Notamacropus eugenii: one gene and its partner. The protein of the gene in region 1 interacts with the protein of each later gene in a biochemical or structural test. Links are inferred from orthologs where the notes say so. Each region holds a gene or a part of one and is shown on either strand. Other genes may lie near its edges.

What was found.
Region 2: the proteins of GJD2 (region 1) and LNX2 form a complex in vitro, tested with the Homo sapiens proteins (2 studies listed by BioGRID and IntAct, with this or other methods). The link is inferred for Notamacropus eugenii from reciprocal best matches to the Homo sapiens genes GJD2 and LNX2.

What each region holds. Positions count from the first base shown.
Region 1 is NC_092878.1:19,543,373-19,555,506, reverse strand, and holds GJD2 (gap junction delta-2 protein), read left to right. Parts: upstream 1-4,313; 5' UTR 4,314-4,828; coding exon 4,829-4,899; intron 4,900-5,874; coding exon 5,875-6,772; 3' UTR 6,773-7,500; downstream 7,501-12,134. UniProt on the Homo sapiens protein: One gap junction consists of a cluster of closely packed pairs of transmembrane channels, the connexons, through which materials of low MW diffuse from one cell to a neighboring cell.
Region 2 is NC_092876.1:195,749,748-195,761,881, reverse strand, and holds the start of LNX2 (ligand of Numb protein X 2), read left to right. Parts: upstream 1-4,169; 5' UTR 4,170-4,308; intron 4,309-4,953; 5' UTR 4,954-5,126; intron 5,127-12,134. Other genes in the region: protein POLR1D, read right to left, coding at 3,023-3,336.

The DNA of each region.
Region 1 (12,134 bases):
GATAGAATCAAGGCATTAGTAAGAGAACATGACAATTTTCCAAAGACCTGCTCTGCTCCTGTTCAATCCTGGACTTAGCTCATTGTCTATTTGAAGTGTCTGTCCAAGATAGGTATACTAATGGACAAACTCCAAAGCTTGCCAATCTAACTACATAGCAGACTAAGATACTGCAGTATGAGCAGAGTTTTAAACTGAAGATGAGAATGACCATTACATTGTTGTGAAGAGTCCTAAACTTAAGACCTGGCTTCAAATCCTCCTATAGACTCTTATTAGCTCTATGACTTTCAGCAAACTATTTAACCTCTCTGGACTTCAGATTCCTACTCTACAAAATGAAGAAGTTGGACCTGTACTACTGAGGTGTTTTTCTATTCTAAATTTTGTTGAGGTGCTTTTCTATACTAAATTCATTATCCTAGGAAGGACAAGGAAGGACATAGACCACAGTTGCCATAGAACACTATAAATTAATATCTTTGCAAACTTTATGTGTGGTGGGATACAAATTGTTGGCTTATGTAAACACAGTTGACTTCATGTCATATCAGATGAGTGGTCTTGGAAACTAAAATTCTCTGCATGTATAAATAGAGATATATATCTTTTTAATAGTCTATGGGAAGTAATCGATAGAGAGCTAGTCTTGAAATCAGGATGAGTTGAGTTCCTGTCCTTTTTCTGACATATACCTTTTGTGGGATCATGGAGAAGTTAGTCTATCTCAGCCCCTAGGATGATAAGTTACAGATGAGTATCTGATTTATATCAAGGGAGGGAGTTTCTACATTGAGAAGATTCCCTGATGAAACCACAAACTGAGACAAAATGAATGTTCTTAGGACCACATTCAAATACATGAAATGATAACTACATATATTTATATAATGATCAATGTATCATGCATTACATTCTAACACTCTCAGTCACAACCAGATAAAAATATTACCACTACTTTTACTTCAGGTTATCCTTGATTTATTTTTCTTTACCTTTTTTTACCTACTTGTTCCCATTTACTGAAATCCCTTTCATCAAAACATACTCCAAACAGGAGAACCAGAGAACAGGGATAAAATGGGAAAAGAGAATGTTGGAGAATCTTTCTAGGAGTCTTAGTTGAAGAAGCACAAGAATCACAACATTGTAGAATTGGAAGGAACCCTGGCAGCAATCCCACTATCACATACCCAACAAATGTTCACTGAACAAAGCTTTACTGAAGACTTCCAGTGAAGGCAAAACCAATGAGACAACCTGTTCCAATTTTGAACAGCTTTAATTGTGGAGAAATTTTTCCTGACATCAACCCTAAATTTGCTTCTATGAAATTTCTGTGAAATTGTCCTTGATTCTAATCTCTGGGTCCATATAATTCTTCTTCCACATGACAGTCCTTCAAATGCATGAAATCAGCTATTATGTTCTCTACCTCACCCTCCTCCACCTCCAAATCTTCCTTTATCCAGGGTAAATACATTGCATTCCTCTGATTGATTCTTACGTTACCTACACTCCAAGCCTTCCAGCACCCTGGTTGTCCTTCTCTAAGGGCTCTCCAACTTACCAATATCTTTACTAAACAGTTGCATCCAGAGCTAATTGAACGCAATACTCATCTGTGGTTTGACCAGCAAGAATATAGAGGAACTGTTCAGAGCTAGTGTGGTACAGTGGAAAGGACAGGGAATCACAGAGTTAGTGAGCCTGAATGTGAATCTTGGCTCCATTGCCTGTGTGACCAGTCACTTTGACTTTCTGGGACTTGATTTCCTTATTCTTGAAATAATAGGGTTGGACTTGATAACCTCTAAGGTACCTTCCAACTTTAAATTGATGGCGCTATGATCTCCTCATTACTAGAGGCTACGCCTCTTTTAATGTAACCCAAGATTACATAAGCTCTTTTGGTTGCCATATTACACTATTCACACATATAGAGCTTGTGGTCCACCAAAATCCCCAGGTCTTTTTTTAGGCAAATTGCTATCTTGGAATGTTTCTCCCACGCTAAACTTCTGATTTATTTGAATTCAAGAATGAATCATTGTATTTGTCCCTATTGAATTTCATCTGATTATATTTAAACCACTCCTCTAGCCTATGAAGGTCTTTCTGAGTCTTAATTTTTCTTTGTAATATTACCAACTTTGTGTTAGCTGCATATTCAATAAATATGCTATCTCTGCCTTTAATTAATGATAAAAACGTTGTTAAATAGCACAAAACCAAACACAGATTCCCGAGACACTTCCCTGGACACCTTCTACTAAGCTGATCCAACTATTAGCCATTAATCTTTGAATGCGGCCAATCAACGAGTCTCTGATTCATATAACTGAATTATCATGTGATCATATATCTCCATTTTCCTACAATAGAATGGGACATTTTTTAAAATGCTTTGTAAAAAATCCACATAAACTATATTTGCAGCATTCTCCTGAGTTAATACTTTAGTAATCCTGTCAAAAGTGGAAATAAGGTTAGTCTGACATGATCTGTTTTTGACGAAGTCATTCTAGCTCTTTGCAGTCATTATTTCCTCTTCACCAACACATTTGATGCCTTAAAGTGAGAATCAAAACACATCAAGTCCTTCAACAGTCATCAGGAGCAGGGTTTTATTAAAGCCCCATTTTGTCAGAGACAAAAGAAGTAAAAGATCAGTGAAGGATATCCACTCTAACTTCATAATCATCACTTGATGTTTCATTTACATCTTCCCTATTCTAGTTCTACTTTATTTTCTTGTGTGAACTGCTGTGAAAGTGCTCTTACGTTATCAAATATTAAACAACAATAGTAGCTAACTCTGGGGAGAACAGAAAAAATGAAGCTCCCTAGGTTTTGAAATGATTTTTCCTTTTGCCTGAAGTCATGTACAAATAAAACCTTTTTCTATACTGAGTCTATGCTTCAGAATTGTCATTATCTCAAAAGTCTGAGATTGTTACCTAAAACAAAGTTCAGGGTCTGCTGCAACTAAAAGACTCGTAATTCTTTCTTCTCTGTGTGGTTTAAGCCACACATGTATGTGATCTCCCATATAGATGGAAACAATTCTGAGAGCATTATGCTTCTAAGAAGAAATGCTGACACATTCACAAGGCTTCTTTTAAGAGTAGGAACACCAAGCATTTTCTTTTCTTATGCTGGTGGAAAATACTCCAAAACTTTGAAAACTATCAATATCTTCAAATGTCTAGCCTTAAGCTAACGAGCATCCTGGTGTGAAAGAATTCCTAGCCGCTAATTGAACATTTTACAGAGGCAGATCTGGCAACCCAAAGCAAATAGGGGCTCAGAAATTAAGCTGGGCTTATTTGGGAAGGCAGTGGGTGTGCAAAAAGAGAAAGAAGCAAGTAGGAGTGATGCTATATGTCCGGTTTAGACAAAGTTTGTGCCTATCCTTGTCCAAATTAGGAGGGTGGTTATGCACAATCTGTCAGAAGTGGTTCTGTTCCTTAGCTCTCCTATTAACATAAATAAGGGGGCGTCCACATACAATCACTGCACTGTACATACGTTAGTACCCATTCAGATAGACATATGCATATACATAAGTGGACACATACTTCTCTCGCCATAGACATACACACAGGCCCGTTCACAGCTACGTTCACTGTCCCCCTAAGGGTATTCGCACCTATGTCGCCAAATCTCCACAGGCCCACGGAGCCCCTTATTTCCAGCCCTGTTCACAGACAGCGATTACCTGCATCCTTGCTAGAGCTTTTAAATCAGCCCCATTCGTGCGTCTTTCGAGGGGAAATCCCAACTCTGAGCCCCCTGTGCGTACACTAGATGAAAGGAGAAAAATGGGGCTGAATACTAATGAATGGTTGAGAAGAAAAGACACAGTTGCCCTCATCCCTTCACTCATGGCCCCAAGCTCCTCACCTCCCATTCCCATCTTCTCCCTGGCTACAGGCGTAGTCTGGCGGGCAGGTGAGCTCCCGGTGCTACCTGGGCGGGCAGGGAGGGAATGCTTTGAGCCGCTTAGCGAGGAGGAAGCTGCAGTTGGCCAGTTAGGGAAGCTGAGATGGTTCCTCCCTACTCCCTGCCCCCTCCCCCCTCGCTCAATTGGGACACCCAAGACTCAGCCTCCTCCCTCTCTCCCACCCTTCTCCTGCCTTTCCACAAGTCCCCAGCCCCTCGGGCTTGGGAGCGCAGCTACAACACGCCGGCGCTCACTCCCCTCCACCAACCTGGAGTGACGCAAGCAGAGACTACTTAAGGGAGGATTAGAGGCGGCAAGACGCGGATTCCCAGTCTGCTCCCTCTGTGCATTCAGGGTCGCGATCCCGGCCCGGCCTCGGAGGCGGGAAGTAAGGCACCAGCCTGCACTGTTTGAGGCTGCAAGACAAGGGTCGGGCTGCCCTGGGACACAGAGACAAGGCAGGGACCTTGGTTCCCCCCCAACCCACCCGACTGGGAAACAGGAGCAAGAGATCTCTTTCCAGCTAGCAGCAGCCTAGTGACCAGTACATTCTCCCAGTCGCCCCCACCCCCTGCCTGGACGAAGCCACACAGGGAATCTTCCCCAGGCTGGACAGCAACTGACCGGTTGGTGCCCTAGTCCCTGGACAGCACCAGCTGCTACCCCATTTCTCTGGACTCGCTTGGATTTCCCCCCTCTCTTTTAAGTGAAAAAAAGAAAAAGAAAAAAGGGAGGGAGGGGGAAGAGTAGTGGATTAGGTTTATTTTGCTCTTATTTTTGGTCTTTAGCCCCCGTTGTCGGGTGGTGACTGGGGAGGGGGCCAGGAGCAGGGACGTGCCCAGCGCTGCCCAGTCTTTGTCTGCTGCCTCCGAATGCACAGCGATGGGGGAATGGACCATCTTAGAGAGGCTGCTGGAAGCCGCCGTACAGCAACATTCCACTATGATTGGGAGGTAAGGGAGCCAAGCCGCGCTGGACCAGAGCCTCACAGCGTCCACCCCTTCCCATGGCCCCCTTTCCTCACCGATTCGAGTCCTCTTTCGCGCCCCTTCCCCTCCCCCGTCTTTCCCTCCCTCTTGCCTGGGCCCATGGGTTCTGGATATGGCGGGACCATCCCAAGCCCAGAACTGCCCCTCTCTCTTCCAGTTATTTCCTTCTCTCCCCGGGATCTTCCTGAAAGTTGATCTCTTGCTGGGAGGCCCCTTCCATGGGGTAACTCTTCCCCCATCAGAACCGGAACTCTGGGCACAGGTTGTTGGGTCCCCTAGTGCTCCGAGTCAGAGCTGATCTCCCTTCTGTTTCCTAAATAGAAGCTGGAAGGGAGTATGGTGTTTGGAGAGAGAAGGGCGAAGAGGGAGATGGAGTCATCCTTTGAGGCTGAAGCTTCTTTCCTCGATTTATTCAAGAAAGCTTATAGTGTGAGAAACACACACATACACCAGGATTATTTTTGTGTGTTTATACATATAAATAGACTATTTTAAATATAACATTAGGGATAATATTTACATAGAGAATGAACATTTATGGAGTCCATTCACACGATACATATCCCTAGTTTGCATTTGATGTAATTGTGTGTCTATGCCATATACATAATGAATATATATGTATTATGTAGAGATGCATTATGTATAGATGTATCTGAATCTCTTGCATATACACACGTCTCCAAAATATTTGCGTATATACTCGGGACCTCTGAAACGGAGGTGTACAAATCCCAGATGGTCAGAAAGCTGAAAGCATAATTGCTCTCAGATTCTTAGTTCAGGACCACTGAATGGTGGACAGCTCCTCAGCCAAAGCACCAGGGAAACACCAGGGATGGGATGGGAGGAGCAGGGGATCCCTAAGCCAGCAGCAGGCCACTGAGTGACTCTCAGCCCATGACATTCTTTCTTTCTCCCTCCCTACTTCCCTCCCAGGATCCTGCTGACAGTGGTGGTGATCTTCCGGATCCTCATCGTGGCCATAGTGGGTGAGACTGTGTATGATGATGAGCAGACCATGTTTGTGTGCAATACCCTGCAGCCAGGCTGCAACCAAGCCTGCTATGACCGAGCCTTCCCCATCTCTCATATCCGCTACTGGGTCTTCCAGATCATCATGGTGTGCACCCCTAGCCTCTGCTTCATCACTTACTCAGTGCATCAGTCTGCCAAACAGAGGGAACGCCGTTACTCTACTGTCTTCCTCGCCCTGGACAGGGACCCTCCTGAATCGATTGGGGGTCCTGGAGGGGCTGGGGGTGGGGGCAGTGGTGGGGGAAAGCGAGAAGACAATAAGAAGCTTCAAAATGCCATTGTAAATGGAGTACTACAGAACACAGAGAATACTAGCAAGGAGAACGAGCCAGACTGTCTAGAGGTGAAGGAGTTGGCCCCACACCCATCAGGGTTGCGCACAGCAGCACGCTCCAAGCTCCGTCGGCAAGAGGGCATCTCCCGCTTCTACATCATCCAGGTGGTTTTCCGTAATGCCCTAGAAATTGGGTTCCTGGTAGGCCAATACTTCCTTTATGGCTTCAGTGTCCCTGGACTGTATGAATGTGACCGCTACCCCTGTATCAAGGAGGTAGAGTGCTATGTTTCCCGGCCCACAGAGAAGACAGTCTTCCTCGTATTCATGTTTGCTGTGAGTGGCATCTGTGTTGTCCTCAATCTGGCTGAACTCAACCACCTGGGCTGGCGCAAGATTAAGCTGGCTGTGCGTGGTGCACAGGCCAAGAGGAAGTCTGTCTATGAGATCCGCAACAAGGACCTGCCTCGGGTCAGTGTTCCCAATTTTGGCAGGACTCAATCAAGTGACTCTGCCTATGTGTGAAAGGATAGATGGGGTGGGGAGGACTTGGGGAGATAGCAAGTAGCTTCACTCTCTCCATCCAAAAGTGGGATAGGGCTGCTTGCAGAGAAACTTTTAGACCATGGCCTCAAGAAGGGGAAAAGAACTCCAATCCAGTAGAAACACGGGCAAATGATACACCATTGACTCTATAGAGTCAGCTGGGTAAAGAAAAGGCTTCATGTGGAAATGGGCCCTCTTTACCCCATGGGTTGGTATGACCTGACTAGAAACGGACACAAAAGGTTACTGGTTAGGATCACATTGAGCTTTGGCTGAGCCCGGGACATTGGTGAATGGTGGGAGTGAAATACTTTCTTGGTATAAAAATTGTGATCAACCTCCTCAGTTTATCCCCTCTTCCTGGAAAACAGGACAGGCATCTCTAAAGTGCTCCTCTTCTCCACCAGCAAGCCCCTCCCCAACACCCTGGGACAGCTTGCCAGCTTTTTCTATGTATGACCTTACAGCATACCTATTATGGCTTTCTTACCAGTCAACTAGAGGGAATTGTTTGGGGTGTGCTGTTAGGACTGGCTATTGAAGAGGTTTGCATTTGAGCCCAGACTGATTGGTCCTTACTTATGATGAATACCTGTAGAATGTCTCAGATTTCCAATTTTCTAACTCAAACTGCACTGGTGCTGTTTATTAGGGGAAAGGGGTGGGTGGGAAGGGTATTGTAATATGCAAATACAAAAATACTTATATGAGGGTTGCTGCACTGTTTGGAATTGAATCATGAGCCGAGGACATCCCTTCTGCCTAGCTCATGAAGTTTTGAGAGTGTCCTTTTTTTTTTTTTTTTTAAATTTTGGAAGTCTATCAGAGCCACAGAGTTTGTACCTTGGTGTATCTCACTTCTTGTTTTCTAATGTAGTTCTCTTGCACAGCACTACAGCGCTTGATTTTTGCCATGTTTTGGATTTGCCTGTGTGCTCACACCAGAGACCTTAATCATCCCATGTGAATTCTGGATTTATCAACTTTGTCAATTCTTTACACACACACACACACACACACACACACACACACACACACACACACACGCACACCCCTAGCACTGGCCTAAGTAACCTGGAACTAAATACTATCCAGTTAACTGACATGTATTTATTGATATTTATTTGAGACATATACCAAAGGTTCAAAAGTTATTGCTTTGGACTGTGAATAAATGTTACCTTCTCTCTGCTCTTATTAATTTAAGTGCCATATAATAACCTTGAATATTTCACTATGTATTTAATCAAAGAGTTGGCCAGGGGTACCATTTGGAGTAATATGTTTTTATGAAACCCTTTGTTTCCTTTACATTATGACCCTTGATTTAGCTATGACAATGGTGTAACATACAACAGTGATCCATCTCAAATAAAGGACTTGCCTTTTTTTTGTAAAAATAGAACTTTCTGAGCTTTCTTTCTCCTTGGCTGGGGCCTCTTTTTTTTTATAGAAATCTTGAAACTGTTATATTTAGCAGAGAACTGGGAAGAGAGGACAGTTTAATCAACTTTATTTGATGGTGACCTCAAATCCCAAACAATCACTCAAGCATGAGAAATATTTTGGAGACCAGTGTATTTTGTGACATTGGGGGTAAGGGTTAGCAGTGAGGTCTTATAATTGTGAGACACCTCATGTTTAATTTCTCATTTTGTTTTTCCCTCTGCATGCTCTCTGGGGGACAAAACATTGACAAAACTTCTCTTAACATATGTGCCAGTAACATATCATGAGTCAGTCATTAGGAACTGGTTCAAGGAGTTGAATTGTCTCTGTTTCCACCACTTTAACCCTGCTATAACAGACCTGTGGAGAAGACATGGTAGACCTCAAGATTTTTTCTTCCAAGCCCCACATTCCCAACTTCACTCTTTCCTGGAAAACAAAGAAAACTTCATCTGCCTTTTAATCCATTATTTTATGTTAGGATATTTCAGAAGGGAATGTTTCTTTGCTGTCTGAAAATATCCCACATTTTAGAGCTTTCCATTCTTCACTAGTGTGTGATATCAGGTTCAGTGGACTTGGCAGGGTATTGAAAAAAGTTTTCTGATTCAAAGTTAAAAAACTTGGTTTGAGTCTTAGCTCTTCAATTCATTGGTCAAGTCACAACTTCTTTGGGCCTGTGTGTGTATATACATATATATATACATATATAATATATGTATATACATATATATGCATATATACATACATATATATTTGTGTGTAATACTCTGAAATTTGTGTATATATATACAATATATACATATAGACACATGCACATACATGTACACATACATACATATATATAATAGATGTATTACCCAATTCCCAGAATTCTTATGAGTATCAAATCAGATAATGTATATACAATCCCTTTGCAATTATAGAGTGCTAAAAATTTGTGAGCTGTTATTAGGATTTATTTAAAATTTGGTTTGGTCATTCATTGCAAAGCTCCCATGGAATTTCTTAGATGATTTTTATATAAATACAGAAGAATCTTATTTCATCCTTAATTCATAGTGTGATATTTTTTAGAAAGAAAAATGTGGATAGTCTAACAGATATGCTTTCATCTTTAATATAAATGGGGTTCCCAAGAATATTATTCCTTGGAGAAAGCAACTCTCTATTCATTTTGTAAACTAAAAAGTAAAAAAAAAATGTTTCAAAGCACCTCTGAGAGATGAAGAAAGAGTGTTGCTTGATAGCACTAAGCATATGGTTGGGTGTGAAAGAAATGGGAGTGTAGAAAACAAGGGCTGTTGTATTTATACCCTGATATCATATGAAATAATTATCATATCTTCTGGGAAAACTGAATTCTACACTATTTTTCAGATACTTAATTTTTTTAAAGTAGGCACTTCCAAATGTCCGTACATTGATCTTAAAGGAGAAGAAACTTGTACTATTATCTCAACATGTGTGAACATCCACCACAATTTGGGGAATGTTAGTCAGTGTCTCTTTTGTTTTATTTTTAATAAGGGAAATCTACTGGTAGGTTAAAGGAAGATGCCGTCAATGGGGCCCTCTAGAATGGGGTGAGTTGAGGGAGTGTTTTCTATGAGCTCTTAAGTTTAAGGTTTTCCCCCATTGATCCACATCGCTCAAATTCCTTTCCTTCTTCCATCTGATTCAGCTCATATAATTCAATTCACTAGAACAAACTTTTTAAAGTAACTGCTATGTGCACAACGCTGTACTAGGCACTGAGAATACAAAGACAAAATGAAAATAGTTCTTGCTTTTGAGGAACTTACCTTCTACTGGAAGGATATAACACATAACTAGAAAAGTAAATAGAAGATCATTTGAGAAGGGAGAGATCACTAACAATTATGAAAGACTTCCTGCAGAAAGATTATAAGATGCAAAGGTAATGAGAGACTGAGTTCTAAGCATGGGGAACAGCATGAGCAAAGACACAGAGGTGGAAGATGTAATGCCAAGTCTGGGGAACAGCAAGAACGCCTGTTTGGCTAGAATATCATGTGTAATACGTAACATAGAGGGGATATGCAAAATGTCTGGAAATGCAGATTTTCCAATGCCACTCAGGAGTGGCATTGTTCTCATTATGTGTAAAGATTCAAATTCAAGAACAGGGTAAAGGCCCTTGAATTACTAGGCCCCAAGATAGGAAAGTGGAGAGGGTCTACTTGCTAAATTCTGCAAGCTTATCGTTTAATATTTTAAAATATTCATGATTTTATCAGCTTGTGTACTCTCTCCCTCCACTGATATACATCGCAAACTCTTTTTTATACCTGAGCAACTGGTTTTCCAATTTGACAGGGTGGCAGCAGGGCATTGGGAATCATCACCTGATAGGCATGTTCCGGTGATGACCCTTTCCAAACTTAGCTAGGCATGCCCTTAGACAATAACATACAGTCACTTGCTGGTTCCATTTGAAGCTTTTCTGACTTTATTAGGATTTGTCAAAGCTCATGGCTCATTGGCACAGCCTGAGAACACAAACCCAGAGTCTCTTCCACACCATGGTAAATTATCAAATTAGGATTATAGTAGAGATTTAGACCTAAGAAGGGTTAAATGATAATAATAGCAGCTAGTATTTATAGAATGTTTTATTTTTGCAAAGTACTTTACATTACATTACCTCATTTGATCCCACAATAATCTGGTGAGGTTATTATCCATATCCTAGTTGTGTGACCTCGGTCAAGTCACTTAACTTCTGTCCTCCTCAGTTTCTTCAACTGTAAAATGAGGATCAAAATAACACCCACTTCCAAAGGTTTCTGTGAGGATCAAATGGGACAATATTTATAAAGTGTTTAGCTCAGTGCCTGGCACATAGTAGGTGCTTAATAAATGCTTATTTCCTTAATTATTCCTTTTCAAAAACTTTTATTGATTTGATTTTAAATTTCAGAAATAAAACGAGCATTTCCATAACATAATAGAATTAAAAAAGATGATTGACCATGAAACTACAAATCTGTTATGTACAACTTGCAATTCCTTTGAAATATATAATAAAGTTACCATGTAACTTTTCTTTTTTGTCTTCCCTCTCTCCTTCCCTCCCCCACTCTAGGGATGGCTACCATTAGGCACCAATATGTATGTATATCTGTATATATTATATATGTACATAAGTAAAATCATTTTATACATACTTCTATATATCAACTCTTTCTCTGGATGCATTTAGCTTCTTTCAGTAGTATGTTTCTTTGTTTGTAATCAATTGGGTATTTATAATAATCAAAATAACTTATTCAATCAAAGTTGTTCTTAAAGCAATACTGCTATTACTATACAATGTTCTCTTGATTCTGCCCATTTTGTGAAGAAAATAAGGCTGAGAGTTTCAGTGACCTGTCCAGAGTCAAACGGCTAGTGAGGCTTTGAGGTAGGATTCAAACTTAGGACTTTTTCATTCGATTCGTTGCATTACCTAGCTATCCAAAGGAGTAACCAGAGAGTTTATATTTTGAGAGGGCAAACAAAATGTGTTTAAGGTAGGTTGGAAGGAATTTAGGGAAGATATTAGAAAGGACTTTCCAGCTATAAGGATTGAGAGTTACAAAAAAGAATTATCAAGGAAAGTTGTAGATTTTCTTCATCTGGGAATTATACAGCTAAAAAAAAGTGGAGGCCAGGGGACCAAAAATCTTACTAGGGGAGTTTTAAACTTCTGAGAGGCAGGAGTTAGATTAAATTAGATCAAAATCCAGTAAAGCCTTGGTTACCACAATGTACTTGGGGTCTCTGTACCCTGTGGTATAATGATCATAGGTTCATAGATTTTTGAGCTAGAAGGGAAGTAGTACTTAGGGATTTAGTCACCATACGCCAAGCACCAAAGTGTTTCATG
Region 2 (12,134 bases), on another chromosome or scaffold:
CAGGCCCAACATTCTATCTACTTTGCCATAACCTGCCTGACTTAATATGTGACTTGGTGAGATATTAGGTTGTTGGGAGCTCTGGGAGGAAACTCTCAATGCTTGCTTCTTAACAAAACCTAATGTGCTTCCTTACCTTTACCACTGAAGGCAGAACAACGATAAAGGCTTGATATTCATCTAATATGTCAATGTCTTATCACTCATCAGGATTGTATTAATAGACCTTGTTCTCAGTGGATGGAATTAGATGGACCCATTTTTTGCTTTGGCAAACTATACACAAGCAAGCAAATTACAAGATGGAGGGTAGAGCCTAGCTTTGTTATAGAAATAGAACAATAAAGGTATAGAAATATCAGTTAAGGGAAACTAGAGGCAGAGATATGCAAGAAAAGAACAAAGAATGTGAGGAATCAGAGAAAGATAACTAAGCATTAACCAAGGAAGGAGGAGGCTAATAAGTTACCATATGGAGGGAATAAAAGCCTTCAAAGTCCAAAGAGTATAGAACTGATTTCCTCAATATTCCAAGGTAGAGTAAGTACTACTTTGGACTAGGTATAGAAACAGGATATAACTAAGAGAAAATCAAGTGTAAGGGGCCAAGCTTCAGTAAGAATCTAGAATGGAGGAAATCATTAAGAACAGTATTGGGGTTTGTTTTTTTTGGCTTGACAAGATACTGGTACATCTTAACAAACTCTGTGTAACTGTGTAAGCTGTGTAACCATAATTTCCCTAAACATGCAATTTTTACCTTAAGATTTCTAACTTAATCATTTGACTAAAAATGGGCTGAGTATAACACTGCAGAACAGAGGTGACTAACAGGTGAACTTGTAGCCTTTCTTCCCCTAAACCTGTAGCCTTTTTCCATCTCTCTCCTGGGCTGGGTCAATTATCATCTCTATCCAGATGACACTCAGCTCTATTTATGAACTATGAGATATTTATGAGATTTAATACATGACAATCATCTGAGATTAAGTAAGTGTAAAAAATACTTCATACAGTGCCTGACAAGCTAGATACTTATTCCCTCCCCCTTTTATTTGTCCAGCCTAGTCTCTCTTATCTTTCCAACTTTCTATTAGACACTTCAAACTGGATGTTCTGTAAACAACTTAAATTTCATATGCCCCAAACTGAAATCATTATTTTTCTCTGTAAGTCCTCCTCCTTCCAAAATTCCTTATTATCATTCAGCACACCACCTTTCTTTGGTCACTCAGGCTCACAACTAAGTTGTCATTCTTGACTCCATTTTCCTTTCATATCCAATCAGTTGTTAATCAAGTCCTGTCACTTCTACTTTTGTAGTATTTCTTGCATATGCCCCCTTCACTCCTCTGACGCTGCCATCACCCAAGGCAAGCCTTTTTTGCCTCACCCCTAGAATAGCTTGCTGGTTGGTCTTCCTGACTCAAGTCTCTGCCCACTTCACTGCATCCTCTACTCAACCAGGCATTTTCACTGGCCGCCTGCCATGGCTGGCTCTCTATCTCTGACTCCTGGTTTCCTTCAAAGTCTCACTTTCTGCAAAAAGTCTTTCTTTAATCACAGTATCTATGATTATGCCCAATTTATTCTTTATGTATCTTACTTGTACATAATTGTCACATTTTCTTTACCCCATTAGACTGTGTGTGGCGGGCTTCTGGAGAACAAGAACTGTCTTTAGCCTTTCTTTGTACCCCCAGTGCTTGACCCATAGGAGGTAAATAAATGCTTGTTGATTGGGAGCAGAGTTAAAGAACAAGGGTGAGCGAGAGTGGTCTGAAACTTCTACCAACCTTCCACCTTCTCCTAGTTCATGCCTCCACAACCCTTCATGCAACATCATTCGAGCAACAAAATTCAACTATCTCTTCCTAAGGCAAAGGTTCTTCACTGTTTTTGTCATGAATCCCCTTTGGCAGTCTGGTGAAGCCTATGGAGCCCTTCTGATGTTTTTAAATAATTAACTACACACAGGATTACACAAGAAAACAATGATACTGAAATACAGTTACCCCAAAATGAACCAAAAAACCACCCAAGTTCTTGGTGGGCCAAAGGAAGAACTCCTGAATTAGTTTTCCCTCTCCCTTCACCCCCCACCCCAATTATCCTTATGGAAGCTATCACAATCATTTTCCCAAGGCATGGCAAGCCTTCAAAGGCCGTTTTCCATATAAAAACCTGAGCCTGGTAGGGACCATACTTTCCAAATATTTCAATCACCAGAAACATGTACGTTGTAGGAGTTAGCTGGAAAGCCATTTATCCACGCAATAAATGCGCACTAGGGTCCATCGGTTCCTTCTGCTGCTTTTTCCACATTCATTCTACTCTGGAATCTCAGGGTGTCCGCGTTTCTCAATAATAAAACCCGAGAGTGAGCCCCACCACTTTTCCCATCTTTCTCCTCCTCCCCTCCCACACGCAGCACTGTGTCCTTTCCCTTTTTTGGGGGGGGGGCACCGATTCTCATTTCCTCTCTCCCTGCCCCCCCTCCAGCCCAGGCTGCCCGTCCCGTCCCGTCCCTTCGCCTCCCCAGGCCCGCACAGGCGGACGCCGGGGCCACAGGCCCCCCGGGGCGTCCTCCCCTCCTCCGCTCAGAACCCGCCGCTGTCCAGACCGTTACCTCTCCAGTTCCTCGTCCTCTTCCATGGCGCGGCCGAGGGCAGCTTCCGGGCTCCTCAGGTGGCGGGGGCGGCCCCAGGGATGTGCCCCATACCTCGGTCCCCGCGGGCTGAGCAGGAAGGAAGGAGGAGCCGGAGGAGGAGCCGCGGCGGCGCGGCGAGGCGAGGACCCGGCCGAGGGGCGGTGCCTCCTGGCGGCTCTGCCCCCGCCCCCGCCCGGGGGAGCGGCCGCCCCTCACCTGGCGAGCCCCTCCCTTTCCGCTAGTCCGCAGAGAGATTTTTTATCTTCTAGCCCGCCCTCCTCTCCCGCCGGCGGGGCCTCCCCCTTTGCTTGGGGTAATCCCCTCTCCTGACCCGGCCTTGCCTCCTCGCTTGGGAGTGGTCTTCTCCCTCACCTGGCGGGATCTTTCCCCCTCCTCCAAAGGCAGGGCTCGTTACTATTCCTATTCCCTGCAGCCGGGCACCTTGGGGGGTACTCAGCCCCCGCCTCAGGTGACCCTCCTCCCCACAAAGCACCTATCCGGGAATGGGCGAGGATCCCCTCCCCCAGGCCTCCACCAGCCCACCCCCAACTGTCTCCCCCGCGCCCGCCCCCCTCCTCGTGGGGAGCCCTGCCGAGGCTCCTCTCCGAAATGCACGCGGACAAGCCGGGGTGGGAATCCCAGCTCGCTTTATCAGCTGCGTCGGGGGCTAAGGAGAGTGTCTGCATGGGTCTCCTGAGGGGATCCGGTCCCTGCCTCGAGGCTCAGCTTGGGCAGTTGGACGAGTCTCGTTTAAGCTTGGGCGGAGACTTGGGGTCTGGTCTCTATCCTTTCTCCTCGGGGCCTGTCCTGACCCCCGAAACCCTCATCTCTTATCAAGATTTGTCTCTTTCCTTTTCCTCTTCTGTCCTCCGTTGGGAATCCCTTCTTTTCCGGAGCCCCGGAGCCCCACACCCCCGTACCTCCTTCCCTTTCCCGTATTGTTCCTTTTCTCCAGCCAGCCTCCCCTTTCCCTTTTCTCTCCCTCAGGTGTTCTTTCCCACGTGCTTGAGCCCTTTCCCTCGTTTCCACCTCCGCCCCTGTTTGCTCTTTTCCCTGCTCCAGCTGTCTTCTCCCATTTCCACATTTCCCCACGCCTTTCCCCACTTGTTCTCCTCCCCCTCACACATGTGACTCTTCCCCCCAGCTGTTCCACTCCCCATGGCCAGAGCCCCGGGGAAGCCTCCGAGCCAGTCTTCTGCAGGGAAATCAGGCAAGTGACGGAGACAGCCCGGGCCAAGGAGCCGGAGGGTGGGGAGGGGCGATCGGAGGGAACAGCGGGGCGGGGCTGACTCACTCTAACCCGGGAGGCTCTGCTGGGTTAGCGCCCCACCCCCTCAGCTCTTCCATAGGGCGAGCCTCTCCCTGCTCCGCCCCCTCCCTGACCTGAGGCGCGTCTGATTGGCTAGAACGGGTGTCGGGTTAGGCGGTTCGGTCGCGGGCGCTCGCCCCCGGGATGTGAGCAAGCAGGGGCGGTTGAGGCGTAAGTGAAGTCTTGGCCGGAGTTTGCTTCTTGCCAGGAATCCCGCGGCTGCGGCGGCGGCGGCTTTTGGTGAAGCGGAGGCGGGTCACGTCTCTTCCCCCCTCAGCCGGCGGAGGCGGCCGAGCGGACCGAGGCTTCCGGAGCGCCGTGCCGCGGTGGGGTAGCCCTCGATTCCCAGGTAAGTAACTTTGGACTGCGCCTCCCGTTTCGCTCCCGCTCGGCGTTCTCGTCGTCGCCTCAGCGGCGGCAGCGACCTTCTGTCTGCCTGCGTGCGGGGCTCAGGTGCCAGCGCCCCGGGGCGGGGGGGAGGAGCGTCCCCGCTGCGCCCCTTTCCCCGGGCACCGCGTCCTCGCGCTCTTCTTGGCGGCTCCTGTCCGAAGGTGGAGGAGGAGGAAGATCTGGAGGACCGTCTCGGACTTGTCCGGACCAGGGCGCGGGGTGGGTGTGGGGCTGGCCCATCTGGCCCCGGGAGGGACGCCCTCGCTGCCGGCGGTGCCCGGCGGGCGCTCCGGGAGAAGTCAGCCTGGGCCAGGCCGGGACCGCGCTTATCCCGGGGTAGGAAGCTGGGGAAGGAGCCCTCGCCTCTCCGTGGGCTGTCGGAGCAACCCTGCTGGTTTCCTCCGGGACGCTGCGGGGAGGTGGTCCCCCACCCCCAGTCCTCACCTGTTGCCTTTTTATCACCTCCCTCTTGGGCTGGCGGTGGAGGTGGAGGAGAGTGGCCCGAAACCTTCCTGCCCAGATCTTATCGGCCCCGAGGAGGGCAGAGGTGGTCCCCGAGCCTTCCGTTAAGAAGTGACACCTCTTCCCACCTTGGATGCCGTAGGTCGAAGACGCTGTACAGTTACCTGTTGAGGCTGAAGGGCAGCGAGCCCAGAGCTGCACGTCTGACGCAAGTCCCCTCACCTTTTTGACTCTGGACAACTCGGGACTCTAAGATGCAGAGGCTTTCCAGCTTTGCACTGGTAGAAATTCCCTCGACTGAGTATTCTAGGACAGGTAACTGGCTGTGAATGCAGAGAAGGTGCTGGTGGGCATCGACTGAGCTCTCTGGTAATAAGTAATTTATTCAAATGGATTCACAGGCCCTGGCCCCTCCTCACCGTGAAGATGGTTCCAGCGCTTATTTTGTAGTAGGTGCTTAATAAATGTTTGTAGAGTGGAATTGAATTTTAGCATTCCAGTTTATGTACTGTTATGAATACAGTTACATACTCTTCTTTCAGGTGCTACTTTTCAGGATCTGTGCATTTTAAAAAACGTGTACCAGGGCTACTTGGAAGTGTATTTTTTAAAAAATAGAAAAATCACAGAACCTGGAAAGGGAGTAGAGTGAAACAGTCTTAGTGCGGGAGAAAGAAACTATTTTAGGCTCCTGTTAGTTGATGCTGGGTTAAAATTGTGAGTTTCAGCCTCACTCTCCATAGCAGCAAAAGCTTACAAATAAGTTTCATCTTCCTAGCTCTTAGAAGGATCAAAAGATTATAGCTGAAAGATACTTAAGAAATCACTCAAATCACTGAGGTCCAAATAGGTAACGGGGTCGCTGTTACACATGGCCTGGGGTTTGTTTTTTTTGTTTTTTGAACCTCAGTGCTCTTACCCCAAGTCTTGCACATATTCTTTGAACCATCCTCATGTACTCCTAGCCAAGAGGATTGGTCAGAAAAGCCATGAGCTGTGGGAGAAAGGGGATGATCTAACCTTATGCCTGCTCTAGCATATTATTACTGTGAAATCAGTGCTTTTCTCTCTATACATGACTCCTTCATCGTTTATTTTCCCTCCCCCTTTTTTAACTGACTGAATTGTGGCTATATTCTCATAGGTTAAATACAAAGCTAGATTTTTATTAATATAATCAGTGACAAGTGATGAGCATATGGAAAAGGCTAGAAAATGTACTCTGAAAGACAATTTCTTCAGACACTTCAAATGTCTACTGTACGTTGGCCACACAGCTAGTGGAGGGAGAAAAGGAGTTTCTATTATTGTTATTTTTTGTCTGTCAAAGACCAGGTAGATCTTGAATAACAAAGTTTTACCTTTTTAGTTCACCTGAGATACACAGACTTTTTTATGAGTGAAATATAGGTCAAGTCTGAACCAATGTAAAATAATGCCAGTTTCTGTCCAAATCCCTTAGAATAGAGTTTATAGACCCATTGATCCTTTTCTCCTGTAGTGAATTTCAGGTTGAATGCTTGAGTTGTTAGTTTTTGTGTTTTTGTGCTTACTATGAAAAACTTTAATCATATAGGCAGCAAGGTGAAATAGATTAGAAGAGAGTTACTGTAAAATCCAATTTATCTAGAGTAATTGGGGGAATGGGGTCAGGATTCTGCATGATTCTGTGTTGGGAATGGTAAGAACACCCCTCTTTCTAGATGGATGACCGGTGGCAAGTTGATTAACCTCTCTAAATGTCAAGTCTGTTCATTTGTAAAATAGAATTGTACAAATATACTGGGCTTTTTTGGTGAATAAAGTATCTTTTTAACAAAATATTATATAAATGCATTTATTACAAGCACACATCCTCTCTGTAGCTTCTAGACTTAAAGAGTTCCTAAAGCATTGAGAGGTTAACCCTCAGGTCATGGCACAAGCCAGCATGGGTCAGAGGTGAGACTTGAATTTGACTTGGCTTCCTGGCAGCTCTCTACCCATGCTGCCTCTACCAGTTTTCACATATTTTTATAATGGAAATTTAAAGGACATTTATTTTGTTTCTTCTTCACATAACCTTAGTATTCTCTCAACTACTTCTTAACTAGGACTGTCTCTGTTTTTGCAGATGGGAATACTGAGGCTCCAAGAAGTTAACTTGCCTATGGTCATTTAGCTAGTAGGTGTCAGAACCAGGTTCAAGTCTCTCCTAACCCCTAATTCTCATGTCTTTCCAGAATTTAAAATACAATAAAGTACAGTAATAAGTGTAAACTATTGTTTAATGATTTACACTTAATGTAAAATACCATGACTATAAATCCAGAATTAGACTACATTTGTATTTTCCTGATAATTGATGTATACTTTAAAAAATAAATCCCCGGTGTCATCTCTTCGCTTATTTGCTTCTTTTCTTATAGAAGTTCAAACTATTGGAAAAAAAATTTTTTTAAGCTTTCTGATGGTTTGAATTTTGAATAAGAGGGAGTGTTCTGAAGTAGCCTATATGGGTTTTGTTTCCAGAATTACCTTAATAATATAGTCTTTGAAGTCTTGATAAGAATTGTTGAAAGAAGTATGGTGAGTGGTTAAGTACTGTCTGTTATTACTGGCAGGGTTTAATTAAATACAATTTACACATCTCTAATTGCTTTTGCCCAATTTCACAGAATCTGGACTTTTGATGCTGATAATGAGCGTGGGAGAATTTTGTGGAGGAAAAAGAAAATTTTGTATTTTTCACTCAGAAAGGGAAAAGATAGTATGTGAGGAGAAAATATGCAAATAAGTAATGCATATAATGCAGGCATATCATAGTATTTCAGCAGATCCATGATCTCCTCTGTTGTAATTGCTACTTCCAGTAATGCATAACCCATTCATCATACCTTCTTGACATGTGCAACCCTTTATCCATGTCCTTCTGTAAATCCTTCCGTGGTTGTTCACTCAGTGTGCTTGGGTGCTGGGCTTTTTCTGCAAATCTCTTGCCAGTTCTTAAAGCCCAAGGAAGACCTTCAAGCTCTCTACCGGTTAATTATGCCTGCCTTCGACCACGTGACCAGATCTACTTTCTTTACTGGTCATTCATTCTCTACTGGCTCTACAATTCGAACAGTTCTTTGGTAATGTGCAGTAGACAGCTTTTGCTGGTTCTGAATCTCCATTTCCCTTTAAGCAACCTCACATTTATTTCTGTAGAGACTGATATCCTGTGACTTGCAGCTATAGTATAGTGTACCAGGAGAATATTGATGTGAAAAAGAAGAGCCTTGTTTCAGGCAGCAGCTTAGGGTCATTAAATATGCTGCATAATTTTCCAGATGCAATCTTGCCAGTTTTACTCTTTCTTTTGAGTTCTGGACCTGGCTCATGGTACATTTGCAGTGTCTGTCCCAAGAGATAGACACTGATGGAGCACTTCTAGAGCTTGTTTCTTCACCTGCCCATCTTGGTGTGGACAATAGGTATTCTTTATTCACTTGAGTTTTCCTTCATGAATAATAGTTTCCTCATTAAATGTCAGTACTCATTAAATGCTTTTGACTTATTTATTCATTCCTTCACAAGGTTGGGGAGAGACAGAAGGTATTTTGAAGAGGTTCTAAAGACCAGAACTACCTACTTACTAATAGTTTTGTAATGGTGGTAGTCAACCTCATGAGCACAAAACTGGCCTTTCCCCACACTACTTTCCCTTTATTCCCATTTTTTGAAAGTTGATCCTAAGGAGACAGATAAACCTAAACTCTCCACCCAACCATGTCCATATAATGTTTTTGTAAATGATTTGAAAGAGGGAGTGCACAGTTTAAGTTACTCTAGTCAGTGAAATACAAGCCAGTCCAAATTAATTGCAAAGATATCTTTCAAAGCTATGTGAGTGGGCAGAAAAAGTGGCAAGCAATTAGACAAGTATAAGGTAATACACTTAAGGGAAGGGAAAAAATCTAAATTATACTTAGAGTAACAGGCTTTTTAACTGTCTGTTGCAACTCAGGAAAATGATTTGGGAACCATTCTAGACTATTCCTTGAAGACATCGATCTAATATTCTGCTATGGGAGAAGCCCACCTGGATATTCTTCCTACATTTGGAAAAATACTAGCAGGGACCCAGAAAATATCAACCTCCCCTTATATAAAACATGTATCGAGATGTGGAATATAGATTGGGGGGATTTTTTGCTAATGCAGAAATTTTACAGTAGGAAATACTATGTAGAGACCTCATATAATTCTAACTTGATTGTTTGGCATTTATTTCACAATGACTTTAGAAGGTGTTGACTTTTTAAAAAAATATATACACTAATAAAAGTATCCACATACCCCTTAATTTTGATTTATTGAGTTTGCCCTCTTGAAACAGAATTATAGCTCACTAGATGCCATTTTAAATAGATTTCAGTGTAATTTTGTTAGTGGCTTTAGGAAGAGTAAAGCTTTAGGAAGAAAAACATTAGATAAAACAAATGTAAATTTATTGAATAGTGTTCATTTTAAAATTAAGTCTTTTCTTGTTTTAAAATATAAATTAATTTTAAATGCATTTTTGAAATGTTTTAATATTTATGTGGTTATATTGTTCAGTTGTTTTTCAGTCATGTCTGACTTTTCATGATCCCATTTGGCAAAGATAGTGAAATGGTTTGCTATTTCCTTCTCTAGCTCATTTTACCAATGAGGAAATTGACACAAACAGGGTTAAAGTGACTTGCCCAAGGTCATACAGCTAGTAATTGTGTAAGCCTGGGTTTGAACTCAGAAAGATGAGTCTTCTTAACTCTAGAACTTGGCACTCTATCCATTTCAACACCTAGCTGACTGTGGTTATGTTGAGTAAAACGTAATTTTCCAGAACCACTCAGTCATTATTACATTTTCTGGTACATTGTATTTTATTTAGGATGATCTTGCTTGTGCTCATGGAGAATATAAAATGATTGAGTTCCTTTTTCACCAGAATATTATCCTTATACTATCTATAATTGCTAGCATTTGCATGCTACTTTGCTACACATATGTAGCACATACTTTATGTAATTTGATCCAACAATCCTGGGAGATAGGTTCTGGGAGACACAGTTTGATTTTTCAAGGTCACACGCACTGCTGGCAAGCGTCTGAGGCTGGATTTGAACTCTGATCTTGACTCCCAAGTCTTGCTCTTGATGAACTGTACCACCTCCCTGGTATTTTAAAAAACAAACCCCAAAAAACCTTATGACATTTTGCTGGCATTCTGTGAGTTATTCATTTTACTGGGAGGCAGCAAGCAGTATCACAAAATTATAATTTGAGAAATTGTGTTGGAATGATTTGTGATTTTTTTTAAAAAGCACAAGTCATTTAAATTTTCACATCTGTGTAAATATTCTTTCTAAGGAACTTCACAAGCAAAGAAATGATAGTTTAAGGGATGTTTAGGATAAGTCCTTAAACTTTTCGAGGTCAATGTAGTGGTCATTGTGTTTTAATGGAATTAATGTGGGGATATGAAATAAGGTGATTCAGACTTGAATCATGAGTATGGTGATTCAGTGAACAAACTGTTGGTACCTGAAGTATTATCACCTCCATTTTTAAGATGAGGGTGATAATACTTGAACTATCTTATGGTGTTAGGAAGCCTTTATAAACCTTAAAGAACTATATAAATCAACTGCTTTTATCATGGTAGTAATAACAATTTTTTTAATCAATGCTTTTTTGTATGACGTAGAAATACTGTGCTAATTGGGACATTGACTTTAACAGTTTTATGTTTCTGATCATCTGATGAAGTGGCTTCACAGAGACATTAGTGTTACATAGACCAGGTTTTAAGAATTTCTTATTTCTGTTGATGAGGTGATACAGCTAACACTACTGTAACATTTGTGGAATATATAGAAAAAATTAAGTACTAGACATTCTTTGAGCAGCAGAAATACTTTTATAAACCTAAGCCCTAACACAGTTAAGATATTTTCATCACTTCCTGGACAATATTCTCCCTGATTTTTCTAGGTTGCTAATATGTATTTTATTTGTTTCTGTCCAGCTGAGTCATTTTAATGTCTCTATTAGCACAAGCAAGATTGTAACCAAAATAAAATGTACCAGAAAATGCAATAAATTAGTCAAGATGGCAGGAGTAAATTGATAAATAAATTGAATTTTAATTTGGATTATACTGTTGGGTGGCAATGATTTGATTGGTATGCATAAAAATGTGATACAGGAGCACAGAGTCTCATGTGAACATAGTTCATTTGTCTGAATTCTCAGATAAAGAGAAATAGTAAGGAAAACAAAGTAATTTGAATTTTGAGTTAGTAACACTACATGACATTAAAAGTTAGGTTGCAGACCAATTTAACGGCAGATATAACATATTTAAGCTATAAAATGAGCTTATTTACTGATTAATTTTTAAATGAAATGCATGCAGTGCAATCAAATTTTGGGGATATTGAGACTGAAATATTAAAGCATCTTAAATTTTACCATTTCCTATATTTTTCCCCCTTCCTCTCAATTATTTGTCTTATCCACTAGCATAATGTATTGGATAGTTTTGAACTTAGGAAACAAATCCCTAACATTTAGAAGATGAGTGACTGTAAAGTAGTCATTTAGCCTTTCTGAGCCTCAGTTTGCCTCCTGGCAAAATGCACCTAACTGTGGTACTGCCTATTTCATAAGGGAGTCAAATGAGCTGATGTGTGTAAAGCACTTTGTTAACCTCAAAATGCATTGTAGAAATGTCAGCTCTCATTTTTATGAGCAAATCATACCTGAGGGAAAATTTTGAAAAGCAATGCTTGGTTTATTATAAAATTCTAATCTATTATGATTATTTCAGAAATTGGGGAATTTTTGTTAAGTTACAGAAATTCTTTGGAAAGTAGAAATTGAAAAATCTGAAATTGAGCCGCATTTTGAAATCAAAGGGAGGAGCTAAAATGTTTTTCTCAGACTAACAAGAAAATTAATGAAAACAAGGTACAAATTTCTGGTGACAAGGAATGTGAATTAACTGGACTTGAAATCAGTTAGAATATCATTGAAACTTAAACATTTTACTATAACTATGTAACATTATAGGATATAGCTTAACCTGAATTTTAACTAGCTCACCATAATACATAAAAAATATCTGTTTAATTTTCTGAGGAATTGAAAGCCCTTGGAATGTTGTAGAATCTTGCGGTTAGAAGAGACCTTTAGACTCTTGCCTCTTCTTTTTTTTACAGGCAGAAATCTGAGTTTTGTTCCCTGCCTGTAGAATGTTCTCCCTATTTTCATGTATTGAATTTTTACTCATTCTTTATAACCCAACTTACAGGC